2 linked regions of the Xenopus tropicalis genome follow. Each later gene encodes a partner of the first gene's protein in a complex. Links are inferred from orthologs where the notes say so. Each region holds a gene or a part of one and is shown on either strand. Other genes may lie near its edges.

Region 1 (7,323 bases):
TTACCAATTAAAATTCTATTTGGCACCCATAGGGGATTTCCCTGCGTACTTAAAAGCACAAATTCAGGCAGGAAAAAAAAACAAGGGCCCCCTTAAGGTTTGACCCATTAGGCCTTGTTACAGAGAGATTTTACCATAAAAAAAAAACTGATGGCACAAAGTTGGATTTTTTTCCCCTGGTACTTAAAGCACAAATTCCAAGGCAGGAACAAGCCCCCCCTAAGTTTGCCGATAGGGGGCCTGTCAGCAGAGAATTTACCATAAAAAACTTATGGCACATTAAGGGTATTTTTGCCCCTGTACCCTAAGCGCACCAATTTTTCAAAGCAGGGAAAAAAACAGGCCCCCCTTTTTAAAGTTTGCCCATTAAGCCGTACAGAGAAAAGATTTACCATTAAAAACTAGGGCAACATAGGGATTCCCCTTTGTACTAAAGCCACAATTCAGGCAGGAAACAAGCCCCCATTAAGTTTGGCCCATAGGCCTGTACAGAAGGAAATACCATAAAAACCTATTGCACATAGGGATTCCCCCCGTTAACTAAGCACAAATTTTCAGCAGGGAAACAAAAAGCCCCCTAAGGTATAACCACTTGCTTATTTTTTAAAGGGGGACGGGATTGAGGAAAACCCCAACTAAATCCCTTTTTTGCCCCAGAGGGAACCCCACAAATTTTTTTTTTTGGCCGCCATTTTTTTTTACAGTTACATTTACAGTTACATTTGCAGCTGTTCCAATATTAAAGTTGCTTTTAAAGAACAGCGCCCCACATTAAGGCCTTGCTGTATTTGCAACAAGCTGTTAGGCGAACAGGAAAATAAACATTTCAACCCCAAACAGGCATTGGAAAAAAACCAGGGCACAGTAGTCCTCAAAGTTTTGGGAAAAACTTTTACAGGGCTCCCCAGCATTTCCTTCAGTTCAGGAAAAAACATGAAATTTCCCACTCTAATTCAAGCTTTGTTAATGTCGAAAATACAGAAAATCCCCCCCCCTCCCCAAAGCATTTAGTGGAGTAACGTTTATGTAAAAAAAATTCAATGGACTCTTTGCTGGATTTAAGTCTTCAATTAAATGGCTCGACTTGTTTGGAAATTTCAAATGCCCTGCCCAAGCAGCCTGGTGGGGGACTTTAAGGGAGTTCTGGCTAACGAGAACTGTTCCTAACCATCCCCAATTTTACCCCCGGGCCCCTGGATCGCTTTCTCCACCCATTTGGGAGATGAAAAAAAGGGAAATGAAAGCGCCCCCAAATCCCCCAGGGGCTGGCAAAAGAAAGCTTAAATTTTGTTTTGCCAGAACATTCCTCTCTTGTATTATTCTGTATTATTTACCATATGGGTAAGGGTCCAATAAAAGCGTTTTTTCCCCTTAGGGGACAAGTACCAAGGGTAATGGGGTATACAAAAGCTTTTATTGTGTTTGGCCCAGAACATTCCCCTTTCTCTTGTTTATATTGTATTAACATATGGTAAGGGGGGTTTGCCATAGTGTTTTTCCCTAGGGACAGTTAACAGTAATGGGGGTTACCAGGGCATTAATTGTTTTGTGCCAGGAACATTTTCCAGTTCTTCTTATAATTGTGTATTTATAAACATTTATGGGGTAGGGGGTTGCCATAGGTTTCCCCTTTAGACAAGTTTTACCAGTTAATGGGGTTACAAAGCTTATTTGTGGTGGGCCCAGGGAGCATTTTCCTCTCGTATATTGTTATTTATTTTTTACATATGGGGTAAGGGGTATGGCCCATAGTTTTCCCCGTTAGACAGTTTACCAGGTTATGAGGGTACCAGGCTTATGTGTTGGGGCCCCAAGGGGAAACATTCCTTCTCGTTATATTTTTTTATTTTATTGACAGCGCCTCGGGACAGAAGGAAAACAAGCGGTCCCATAGAAACCGGGTTTCTTGTGAATTGGGGGGCAAGGTCCTGGTTCCATTAGGGTTTCCTGGGAAAAATCCTGGTTTTAAGGAAAAATATATCAATTATTGCCCCAGTTTCTGGCAACCGAAGGCAAGCTTTTTCAGCAACCCCCCTTGTCCCAAACCCAACTTACAAGCTTTTTTCAGGGCCGCCCCCCCTGGGTTTCACCCAACTTTACAAAGCCCTCCCAGGCGGCCCCCCTGTTTTTTCAACCCATCTTAAAACCAAGCTCAGGCGCCCCCCCTGTTACCCACTTTTTTAACAGCTTTTTCAGGCAAACCCCCTGGTCACCCAACTTAACCAGCTTCAGCCAACCCCCTTGTCAAAAACCCCACTTTTACAGCCTTGTCAAGGCCACCCCCCCTGTTTACCCACTTACAGCTCAGGGCAAACCCGGCCGTGTTTACCCCAAAATTTACAAGGCTCAGGCGCCCCCTGTTTTTCAACCCACATTTTACAGGCTTCAGGGCCCAACCACCTCTCACCCCAACTTTTTACCAAAAAGCTAAAAGGCAGCCCCCCTGTCACCCACTTACCAAAAGCCCTTTCAAGGCCAAAACCCCCCTGTACACCCACTTACAGGCCTTCAGGCGCCCCCCCTGTCCACCCCACTTACCAAAGCTTCCCAGGGGCAAAACCCCCCCCCTGTCCACGCCACCCTTACAAGCCAAGGGGGGCACGCCCCCTGTCAAAAAAAACCCCACTTAACAGCTTCAGGCGGCCCCCCCTTGTCCAACCCACTTTTTAACAAGCTCAGGCGCCCCCCCCCTGTTTTCCAACCCACTTACAAGCTTTTTCAGGGGCACCCCCCCTTGTTCAACCCACTTTACAAAAAGCTTTCAGGCCCGCCCCCCTGGTCAACCCACTTTGTACAGCCTCAGGGGCAGCCCCCTCTCCACCCAAACTTTAACAAGCTTCAGGGCTCCCCCCTGTTCACCCCCACTTACAGGCTTCAGGGGCACCCCCCCTTGTCACCCACTTTAACAAAGCTTCAGGCGCCCCCCTGGTTTACCACCCAACTTACAGGGCTCAGGCGCCCCCCTGTCACCCACTTACAAGCTCAGGGCCGCCCCCCCTTGCAACCCACCCTTACAAAGGCTTTCAGGGGCACCCCCCCCTGTCCACCCCAAAACTTTACAGGGGCACCCTGGGGGGTTCTAGATAAAAGCCCCAAATATTGAAATTGGTCCTTTGGCCCATAAAATGGACTGAAAATGGGGCCTAGTTTATGAATGAGATTCGGGGCCACAAATCTATAAGAAAGAGTTAAAATTAAGCAGGACACCCTGGGGTTATTTTTTAGGAGGGAATTTTGCCCCTAAGAAACTATGACTTAAAAAGGGGGGAAAGGGGGGCAGGTTCTGGTTAAGTAAAGAGGTTTCCTGGGGGGCAAAGGCTGAGGGGCTCCTGGTTATGGAAGATTCCCAATGGGCTTGGAAACCAGGGGGGGGACCCCTGAAGGTTTACCAAAAGGGATGGGTTTAAGGTTTCTTCTTTGGCCCCCTAAGGGGCAAATTAAAATATTTGAAATGGGGGAAAAAAGGGGGGGGGGCAGGTTTACCCTGAGTAAAAAAACAAAGGAATTTGTAGGTTTTCCATAATTTGTTGAAATTGGGAAAAGGAAACAGGGGGGCCGAAGTTTGATTGGGGACCAGGTCTTGATAATTAAAAGAGGTTCTGGGGCAAGCTTGAGAAGGAAGGGCCCAGAAGGAGGGTTTTTAATCCCCAGAAGCAGGGCCGGGGGGATACAACTGGGGGGTACATTATGGGATAGCTTGACCCCCACTGAAATTGGCAGGGGGGGGGGCCCCATTTTATTCTGGTTTGCGCGTGGGTCTCCAGCCAAAACTGGGAGGGCAGCCGGTAAAATTTCCCAATCAAAGGCCCCGCTTTCCCCACAACACCCCAACAGGCCTTCCTCCACCCTGGAGTTTCCCCCAAAACGCACCACGATCTTGCGGCAAGCTGGAATAAAAACAAAATTTCCCGGGGACCCCCAAACCGTGTTTGAAACACATCCTGCAGCGTTTTGTTAATGAACCAAGGAATGAAAGCCGGCCCTCCCATGGCCGGGGAACTCCTCTCAACACCAAGCCGGGCCCCTCCCGCTTAAGCGGGGGGGGGGGGGACCAATTTCAGGCAAATGCACCCCCACCAAGGGGGCCTGTGCGGTATACCCAGAAAAGGCCGGGGCCCAACAGGCCACGAAGGAAGCCCAGGGTTTTTGGGCGGGCATGTGGGCGCGGGCCGCTAGGGCGCGCTGGGAACGGGGATATGTAAGTTCGCTGAAGGAGGAATGGCGGGGCACGGCGGCCATATTTACTGTGGTTCAAGCAGTTGGACTTTCTTATTAAGGGGCAGGGTACCCCCTCAGAAATGAATTTTGTTCAGTTTGACTTAGGCGTAACGGCAGGGGCCATGAAGGGAAAAAAAAAAAAGCTAGCCCATTTTTCCCGGTATTTCCCAGTCAGGAAAAAAAGCTTTCTAATTGGGTAAAAAATCTCTTGGCCCCGGAAGGGCCAAACATATTGGGCGGGTCCTTCCTTCTGGGATCTCTTGACCGTTTCATTGGACTGGTCAAGGAAACAGGAAAGTGCTTGGTTAGGAAAAGGGGTTTTCCCCTTGGCTGTTGAACATTTGGGGAGTGGGAGGCTTTGGGGGGTGCTTGCACCCTCTCAGGGCGTTGGGCCGGGGGTTGGCCCCTTCTAAAATTATAAATAAGAAACGTATAATTTTTAGGGGGAAAAATGGGGGAAGGGGACACCAACCTTTCAAGTAGATAGTAATAATCGTATTTATTATAAAATGTGTACAGAGTAGGGGGCTTGGAATGAAATGGGGGGGGAAAAAGCGCCCCAAATCTTTTGCTTTATAATTCAAATAGAAAAATCAAGTTTTTTTACGTTTTTTACCACAGGCAAGGAGGTTTGGGGGGTGAAATAATAATGAATTAAAAATTTACAACTGATGTAGGTTGCATATGCTGGAGGGTGTAGTTCAAAACAAAAAACCATTTTGCTGGGGGTCTTTAGAAGGAAAAAGTTGTAATAACAGATCCCTTTGGGGGGGGGGGGGGGGGGGACAAGAGACAGGTGAAAAAAAAAAAACCGCCCCCCCCAAATTATTTTTTTACTAAATGGGAAAAACATGGAGTCGGGGGGCCAAAAGAAATGAATCTGTTTTCAACCCCCAAAAAATTGGGGGGACTTTAAATGGGGTTTCTAGTTATTAAGGAGATTTTTCGGGGCCCAAGATTCTTTTAAGGAAAGAGGCTTTAAAATTTGGGGCAGGACACCCTTTGGGTATTTAGAGAGGGGGATTTTTTTACCCCCCACGAGGGTTTAATAATTATGGCAGTTCTGGTATTAAAAGAGTAGGTTTCTGGGGGGGCAAAAGCGGGGGGGCTTTGATTTTTAACCCTGATCCCATTGGGACTGGGACAAAGCAAAAAACCATTAAGTACCCATGGGGGGTGTAGGTTTTTCTTGCCCCCAAGGGGGGCCAATTTTAATATTTGGAATCCAAAGGGGGGGCAAAAAAACAAACTGGAACAGGCCCTTTATTACCCTGAGGTACAGGGTTGGAATGTCTTTGGCCCATAAATGACTATATAGGTCTAGTAATAATGAGGTTCGGGGCCACAAATCTGTAAGAAACAGTTAAAATTAGGCAGGGGTATTAGGCGGGATTTTTGCCCCCACAGGGGTTAAAATTTTAAAAAAAAAAACTATGACTTAAAGAGGAGGGGGACAAGGGGTTCTGGCTTATAAAACGGTAGGGGTTTCTGGGGTAAGCCGGGGGGGGGCCTCCTGTTATTTGCAAGGATTTTTTTTTTCCATTTTGGGCTGGGAAAACCGGGACCCACTGAAAGTAAACAAGGATGTAGGGGTTCTTGGCCCCCCCAAAAGGGGCAATAATATTGAAAATGGAAAGGGGGGGGCTTTGAAGTCTGGTGTTAGGTTTTTTTAAAACTTTTGCCCTGGGGAGGTCCGCAGACTGGGTAACATGGGGGGGGCCCACTTGGAAGGGAAGGTCTGAAAAAAAAAAAAAAAAAAAACCCCCAACCCTTTTTGGGGGGGGGCTTAGTAGGGGCTATGTTAGATTTGGCAAAAGCCCAAAGGGGCAGGGGAGGGGCCCCACAGGGGATTTTTTCCTGCTTCCCACTGAATGGGGCCAGGGGGCCCTATTTGCAACAATGGGGGTGGGGGTATTGGTGGGTTAGGGGGTAGGTTAAAAATGTGGGGTTAGGCTGGGGGCAAGGGTTAACCCATGGATTGTGGGGTATGGTTGGGTAGGGGGGTTAGGAAATGTGGGGGGTAGCTGGGGCAGGGTTTACCCATGATTTTTGGTGGGTATTGGGGGTGGGTAGGGGGGAAGGTAAAATGTGGGGTAAAAGGCTGGCAGGTTAAGGCCATTGATTTTTGGGGGTATATTTGGGTGGGGTAGGGGGTAGGGGTAAAATTTGGTGAGGGTAGCCTGGCAGGTAAACCCATTGGATGTTGGGTTAATGTGGGGTGGTAAGGGGTAGGAAAAATGTGGGGTAAAGCTGGGCAGGTTTTTACCCCATTGATTGTGGGGTATGGGGGGTATGGGGGTAGGTAAATGTTTGGGTAAGCTGGGGAGGTAAACCCCATGATTTGTTGGTAATTTGGTGGGTAGGGGGTAGGTAAATGTGGGGTAGCTGGGGCAGCTAACCCCATTTTTGATGTGGGGGTATTTGGGTGTAAGGGGGTGGTTTTAAAAAAAAATTTTTGTGGGTAGCCTTGGGCAGGGAAGGCCATGATGTGGTGGTTATTGGGGTTGGGTTTTTTAGGGGGTAGGTTAAATGTTGAGGTTTAGGCTGGGCCAGGTATTCATGATTGTGGGTATTTGGGGTGGGGTTTAGGGGTAGGTTAAACTTTTTGTGGGGTTAGCGGGCAGGTACCCATGATGTGGGTATTGGGTGGGTAGGGGGTAGGTAAATGTTTGGGTTTTTAAAGGCTGGGCCCAGGTAGCCATGATTGTGGGTAATTGGGTGGTAAGGGGGTAGGTAAATGTTGGGTAAGCTGGGGGGGCAAGGTAAGCCCATGATGTGTTGGTTAGTTGGGTGGGGTAGGGGGGTAGGAAATTGTTGGGGGTAGCTGGCAGGGTAGCCATGATGTGGGTATTGGGTGGGTTTTGGGGGTAAGGTAAATTTGTGGGGGTAAGCTGCGGCAAGGTAAGGCCATTGATTTGTGGGGTAATTGGGTGGGGTTGGGGGGGTGAGTTAAAAATGTTGGGGGTAGCGGCCAAGGGTATTCATTTTGATGTGGGGGTATTTTTGGGGTTGGGTTGGGGGGTAGGGTAAAAACTGGTGGGGGTAAGCTGGGCCCAAAGGGTAAGCCATTGATGGTGGTAATTGGGGTGGGGTAAAGGGGGGTTA
Region 2 (7,576 bases), on another chromosome or scaffold:
TGGACCCGACTATGGTCTTGTGTAAGAGCTGCACGATGGTCCTGGATGAAAGGTAGGAACCCACCAGAAACCTGTCCCAGGGGCTGCTCCCCCGCGCCGCGTATTCCAGGTCAGTCCTCTTTACCATGCAGAAGTTGGGGTCGCTGAGGATCGTTTGCTGTCCTGGAATAAAACACCACAAATCCGGCTCCGGAACCAAAGGCATTAGCAGGCAGGCATGGTCCAAGCAGGACACAGGGAGTTGGTTACCCAGAGAGCCGCCAAGGTGCAGGGCAAGGAAGGGTATCTCGGGCAGCTTGGCACGCAGAAAGCCCTGCAGCTCTGCCTTTATATCTAGTACCAGCTGCCTGGCCTCCTCCCTCTGCGCTTCCGGGACACTGGCGTGGCGTGAGTGATAGTCCTGCAGCCGCTCCTGCAGCGTGAAGCAAATGGGAATCTTCTTCATCTCATCGGGCGCTTTATCCTGCACCGTGCCAGCTGCCTCTGTATGGATGAACAGAAACACTGTAAGGGCATTATAAACCCCACGAGAATAGCAATAGCCCCCTCAGTTTGCTCCTAGCCTGTACAGAGAGATACCATAAACCTACAGCAGCATGGGGATTCCCCTGTACTAAGCACAATTCAGCAGCAACAGCCCCCTAAGTTTGCTCATAGCCTGTACAGAGAGATACCATAAACCTACAGCAGCATGGGGATTCCCCTGTACTAAGCACAATTGAGCAGCAACAGCCCCCTAAGTTTGCTCATAGCCTGTACAGAGAGATACCATAACACTATGGCAGCATAGGGATTCCCCTGTACTAAGCACATTTCAGCAGGAACAGCCCCCTAAGTTTGCTCATAGCCTGTACAGAGAGATACCATAAAACTATGGCAGCATAGGGATTCCCCTGTACTAAGCACAATTCAGCAGGAACAGCCCCCTAAGTTTGCTCATAGCCTGTACAGAGAGATACCATAAACCTACAGCAGCATGGGGATTCCCCTGTACTAAGCACAATTGAGCAGCAACAGCCCCCTAAGTTTGCTCATAGCCTGTACAGAGAGATACCATAAACCTAGAGCAGCATGGGGATTCCCCTGTACTAAGCACAATTCAGCAGGAACAGCCCCCTAAGTTTGCTCATAGCCTGTACAGAGAGATACCATAACACTATGGCAGCATAGGGATTCCCCTGTACTAAGCACAATTCAGCAGGAACAGCCCCCTAAGTTTGCTCATAGCCTGTACAGAGAGATACCATAAAACTATGGCAGCATAGGGATTCCCCTGTACTAAGCACAATTCAGCAGGAACAGCCCCCTAAGTTTGCTCATAGCCTGTACAGAGAGATACCATAAAACTATGGCACATAGGGATTCCCCTGTACTAAGTACAATTCAGCAGGAACAGTCCCCTATGTTTGCTCATAGCCTGTACAGAGAGATACCATAAAACTATGGCAGCATAGGGATTCCCCTGTACTAAGCACAATTCAGCAGGAACAGCCCCCTAAGTTTGCTCATAGCCTGTACAGAGAGATACCATAAAACTATGGCAGCATAGTGATTCCCCTGTACTAAGCACAATTCAGCAGGAACAGCCCCCTAAGTATGCTCATAGCCTGTACAGGGAGATACCATAAAACTTCGGCAGAACAGGGATTCCCCTGTACTGATGGCTCTGACCTGGGATTGGCTGGCTGGGATCCGGCAGAGATAAAGGAGCACAATGAAGCCCAAGGTCTTCCTTCCTTCGGAGTGTAGGTGAAGCCTTCTTCAGTACGGCCTCTTTCCAACTCTCCTCTATGGATTTCTGCTCTGCTTTCTCCTCCGCTTCTTTGTCACTGGGGGGTGAAGTCGCTCGATCGATCAGCTGCAGAAAGGCACAAGGTGTAAGCAACTCACCCTGAGCTTCAGAGCAAAGTGGCATAACAATACACTGGGGGGCCACCCCTGGGCAGCAGGTATCGAGCCAGACGACCCAGATCAGATGCGGTGCAGTAATATTACAGGAACACACAGCTACTCCCTACGCAGCACAATGGGCTCCCAATACACAAAATAAAGCAGGGAATCTCCACTCACCCGTTTAACAGCCAGTGTGGCTATGCCAAGCATGGCAGCTCCTCCTACGCCAAGAACCAGCCTGGCATTGGCCAACAGAAAGTCCACCATTGTTCCGATACCATCGCCAGACTTCTTTTCTTTCTTTCGGACCTGCAGCTCTGCCATCTTCACCCTGCACAGGGAGAACACCATGGTCAGGAGATGGATTATGAGCCCTAACTAGATATTATTTGTTGTACTAAAGAACTCCTCCCTCTCTGTAAGCCTGAGACAGAGGCAACTAATGGCAGATTGGGGGGGGGGGTGGTGGTGGTAATATTATAAGTCTCTGTAAGCCTGGGGACAAGCTGCCCCCCCCCCCACAACAGCCCAGGGGGACAAGCTTCCCCCCCCACCGCCATCACAGCCCAGGGGGACAAGCTTCCCCCCCCACCGCCATCACAGCCCAGGGGGACAAGCTGCCCCCCCACCACCACAGCCCAGGGGGACAAGCTGCCCCCCCACCACCACAGCCCAGGGGGACAAGCTGCCCCCCCACCACCACAGCCCAGGGGGACAAGCTGCCCCCCACCACCACAGCCCAGGGGGACAAGCTAGCCCCCCACCACCACAGCCCAGGGGGACAAGCTAGCCCCCCACCACCACAGCCCAGGGGGACAAACTAGCCCCCCACCACCACAGCCCAGGGGGACAAGCTGCCCCCCCACCACCACAGCCCAGGGGGACAAGCTAGCCCCCCACCACCACAGCCCAGGGGGACAAGCTGCCCCCCCACCACCACAGCCCAGGGGGACAAGCTGCCCCCCCACCACCACAGCCCAGGGGGACAAGCTAGCCCCCCACCACCACAGCCCAGGGGGACAAACTAGCCCCCCACCACCACAGCCCAGGGGGACAAGCTGCCCCCCCACCACCACAGCCCAGGGGGACAAGCTGCTGCCCCCCACCACCACAGCCCAGGGGGACAAGCTGCTGCCCCCCCCCCCCACCACAGCCCAGGGGGACAAGCTGCTGCCCCCCCACCACCACAGCCCAGGGGGACAAGCTAGCCCCCCCACCACCACAGCCCAGGGGGACAAACTGCTGCCCCCCCACCACCACAGCCCAGGGGGACAAGCTAGCCCCCCCACCACCACAGCCCAGGGGGACAAGCTGCTGCCCCCCCACCACCACAGCCCAGGGGGACAAGCTAGCCCCCCCACCACCACAGCCCAGGGGGACAAGCTAGCCCCCCCACCACCACAGCCCAGGGGGACAAGCTGCTGCCCCCCCCCCCACCACAGCCCAGGGGGACAAGCTGCTGCCCCCCCACCACCACAGCCCAGGGGGACAAGCTAGCCCCCCCACCACCACAGCCCAGGGGGACAAGCTGCTGCCCCCCCACCACCACAGCCCAGGGGGACAAGCTAGCCCCCCCACCACCACAGCCCAGGGGGACAAGCTAGCCCCCCCACCGCCACCACCACAGCCCAGGGGGACAAGCTGCCCCCCCACCACCACAGCCCAGGGGGACAAGCTAGCCCCCCACCGCCACAGCCCAGGGGGACAAGCTCCAGGGGCCCCAACTAACCTAAGGAAACACCCCACACCTCCCCCTGACACCCCCACACCTCCCCCTGACACCCCCATATCCCTCCAGGCCGGGGACTCCGCGCTGTTACCAACAACTGGAAACCCAGAGACAGCGCCACAGGGGCACAGCAAGCACTCGCCCGAGTCTGCTCCCAGCTGCAACTCACTTTCCGCACTCACCTACACTCGGCTAGGCCGCCGCTCCTCCGCACCAACTAATAACCAGGAGTTCTCAAGTTCAGCCCTTTGCCCAGTCCAGCGGAGCCTTACAAGCCATAGGCCAATCGGGAGGCTTAACCTCCAACTCAACCAATCAGCGGTGACAATTTGAGAGTGACCAGCCAATCAGGCGTCGCTCTGTTAAAAACAAGCCACAGGGGGATAAAAAAAACAAACTCAGATACTCGAACACGTACAACCAATCAGCATGCGGGTACTGTAGCGTCAGTGAGACGTCACTTGGCTGCGCTCCCAGGGAAGGAAGACGTTTTTCTTAACCCTTAGGCTGCTGGAAAAAAAACCCTTTGCCCACCCAAACGTACCGATGTAGTTCCCTCCCTTTCTTTTATATATGATTCTTGAACATTTTAATTGCAATATAAATACATACAAAGCTGTTAATCCATAAGGATAGTATGAAAAGCGAGCACGAAGTGCATAGCCAATACACACACAATAAATGGCCGATTACTAATCACTTTACATTCTGCCTGCGCTTTTATATGACCTACAAGTCATACAAAGCTGTACTTGGCTACAATTCCCAGAATGCTTGGAAAGCCAAAGGACGCTCATTTAATTGGATGAAGTTGTATGTCTGTGGCCTCATTTCCACATTAGAAACTCTTACTGGACTTTTAGGCGCTCCAGGGCAAAGAGACCAACTCTGCCAACCCCTCAGTGACTGCTAATATCCTTACCATTTACAGTAGGGGGTACATTATCCCTTATAATACATGAGTGATACTCAGAGTTCCCTGTATAACTCAGCCTGCAGCCTTGTGCCTTTATATGGTCACAGAACCCCTCAGTGACTGCTAATATCCTTATCATTTACAGTAGGGGGTACATTATCCCTTATAATACATGAGTGATACTCAGAGTTCCCTGTATAACTCAGCCTGCAGCCTTGTGCCTTTATATGGGCACAGAACCCCTCAGTGACTGCTAATATCCTTATCATTTACAGTAGGGGGTACATTATCCTTATAATACATGAGTGATACTCAGAGTTCCCTGTATAACTCAGCCTGCAGCCTTGTGCCTTTATATGGGCACAGAACCCCTCAGTGACTGCTAATATCCTTATCATTTACAGTAGGGGGTACATTATCCTTATAATACATGAGTGATACTCAGAGTTCCCTGTATAACTCAGCCTGCAGCCTTGTGCCTTTATATGGGCACAGAACCCCTCAGTGACTGCTAATATCCTTATCATTTACAGTAGGGGGTACATTATCCCTTATAATACATGAGTGATACTCAGAGTTCCCTGTATAACTCAGCCTGCAGCCTTGTGCCTTTATATGGGCACAGAACCCCTCAGTGACTGCTAATATCCTTATCATTTACAGTAGGGGGTACATTATCCCTTATAATACATGAGTGATACTCAGAGTTCCCTGTATAACTCAGCCTGCAGCCTTGTGCCTTTATATGGGCACAGAACCCCTCAGTGACTGCTAATATCCTTATCATTTACAGTAGGGGGTACACTATCCCTTATAATACATGAGTGATACTCAGAGTTCCCTGTATAACTCAGCCTGCAGCCTTGTGCCTTTATATGGGCACAGAACCCCTCAGTGACTGCTAATATCCTTATCATTTACAGTAGGGGGTACATTATCCTTATAATACATGAGTGATACTCAGAGTTCCCTGTATAACTCAGCCTGCAGCCTTGTGCCTTTATATGGGCACAGAACCCCTCAGTGACTGCTAATATCCTTATCATTTACAGTAGGGGGTACATTATCCCTTATAATACATGAGTGATACTCAGAGTTCCCTGTATAACTCAGCCTGCAGCCTTGTGCCTTTATATGGGCACAGAACCCCTCAGTGACTGCTAATATCCTTATCATTTACAGTAGGGGGTACATTATCCCTTATAATACATGAGTGATACTCAGAGTTCCCTGTATAACTCAGCCTGCAGCCTTGTGCCTTTATATGGGTACAGAACCCCTCAGTGACTGCTAATATCCTTATCATTTACAGTAGGGGGTACATTATCACTTATAATACATGAGTGATACTCAGAGTTCCCTGTATAACTCAGCCTGCAGCCTTGTGCCTTTATATGGGCACAGAACCCCTCAGTGACTGCTAATATCCTTATCATTTACAGTAGGGGGTACATTATCCCTTATAATACATGAGTGATACTCAGAGTTCCCTGTATAACTCAGCCTGCAGCCTTGTGCCTTTATATGGGCACAGAACCCCTCAGTGACTGCTAATATCCTTATCATTTACAGTAGGGGGTACAGTATCCCTTATAATACATGAGTGATACTCAGAGTTCCCTGTATAACTCAGCCTGCAGCCTCCTATGTAGCAGAGGGGGTATTTTGTTAAACTACAGGGGGAGCGTACCCCGCTGTCCGGGCCCCCCTATAGTTTCCCCAGTGCTGCCGGACCTGTCACTTGCTCACACTTCCAACCAATCAGAGGCCTGTGTTCCTGACGGCTTGTCAGTACCTGCCGCTGGCGATGAAAGGGTGGAATGGGCGTGGCCGGAGAGTCCATTCCGCGCCGGGGTTGGTTGTCAATGAGCAGTGACTGAAAGCTGAGCGGGCGTGGTGCCTCAAGTTTGTCTGTCCGGAGGGGGCGTGTCCTGGCCGCTTCCTGCTGCTATCTATAGCCAGTGCCCTAATCCGAGAGAGAGCAGCCGGGCAGTGGATCATGGCGGCTACCGGGGTACTGCCCTTCATCAGAGGGGTAGACCTGAGTGGGAATGACTTCAAGGTAAGGGACAAGAAAGCCACAGGGGTAAATCGTCCCTGGGACAGAAGGGAGGTGGTGAGGCAATAAGGTGGGGGTGGGGCTGTGGGCTATACCATGTTTGGGGGCCTAGAGGGGCAAGTAGTAAGAGGTGGAAAGTGCCCATTGAGTTGGAATGCTGCCTGTAGCTGAACTACAACTCACTAAGTCTCTCAGTGGCTGACTCTCGGAGGAGTAGGGCTTATAGTTCAACTAGTACAGAGTCAGTAGAACCTTATCTCCTGAGCTCTATAGGCCAGTCAGAGACTGCTATGTGTTTCCCAGCTGAGTTTCTCATAGGGGTACCAGTGTGTGTCACCCAGGCGAACTAGAATTGGGTTACATTGCCCAAAGCATGATATATTCAATCATTGGCACCCAGGAACCTGGCCCAAGAGTTGTGTTGGGATTGGGGGGGGGGGGGGGGAGTAGGAGATGGGCCCTGTGTTGGTATTGGGGGGGGGGGGGCAGAATATATTCACCAGTCCCTGAGTAGGAGATGGGCCCTGTGTTGGTATTGGGGGGGGCAGAATATATTCACCAGTCCCTGAGTAGGAGATGGGCCCTGTGTTGGTATTGGGGGGGGGGCAGAATATATTCACCAGTCCCTGAGTAGGAGATGGGCCCTGTGTTGGTATTGGGGGGGGCAGAATATATTCACCAGTCCCTGAGTAGGAGATGGGCCCTGTGCTGGTATTGGGGGGGGCAGAATATATTCACCAGTCCCTGAGTAGGAGATGGGCCCTGTGTTGGTATTGGGGGGGGGGGGCAGAATATATTCACCAGTCCCTGAGTAGGAGATGGGCCCTGTGTTGGTATTGGGGGGGGGCAGAATATATTCACCAGTCCCTGAGTAGGAGATGGGCCCTGTGTTGGTATTGGGGGGGGGGGGCAGAATATATTCACCAGTCCCTGAGTAGGAGATGGGCCCTGTGTTGGTATTGGGGGGGGCAGAATATAT

What was found. Proteins that work in one complex are often made in the same cells at the same time.
Region 2: the proteins of dnm1l (region 1) and mief2 are in contact, whole or in part, in a cryo-EM structure (PDB 5WP9), measured with the Homo sapiens proteins. The link is inferred for Xenopus tropicalis from reciprocal best matches to the Homo sapiens genes DNM1L and MIEF2. Residues at the interface, in NP_036192.2 of Homo sapiens: Asp190, Met191, Ala192, Thr193, Ser194, Leu197, Lys198, Ile199, Arg201, Glu202, Gly223, Thr224, Asp225, Asp228, Arg233, Val234; in NP_631901.2 of Homo sapiens: Val213, Asp214, Thr215, Val216, Arg218, Arg226, Leu230, Arg235, Val245, Gly246, Tyr248.

Annotation. Positions count from the first base shown.
Region 1 is NC_030679.2:4,797,976-4,805,298, forward strand, and holds the start of dnm1l (dynamin-1-like protein), read right to left. Parts: upstream 4,240-7,323; coding exon 4,078-4,239; intron 1-4,077. UniProt on the Homo sapiens protein: Functions in mitochondrial and peroxisomal division.
Region 2 is NC_030685.2:15,966,280-15,973,855, forward strand, and holds the start of mief2 (mitochondrial dynamics protein MID49), read right to left. Parts: upstream 3,943-7,576; 5' UTR 3,801-3,942; intron 3,778-3,800; exon of another isoform or gene 3,714-3,777; intron 2,231-3,713; 5' UTR 2,218-2,230; coding exon 2,071-2,217; intron 1,859-2,070; coding exon 1,672-1,858; intron 484-1,671; coding exon 1-483. UniProt on the Homo sapiens protein: Mitochondrial outer membrane protein involved in the regulation of mitochondrial organization.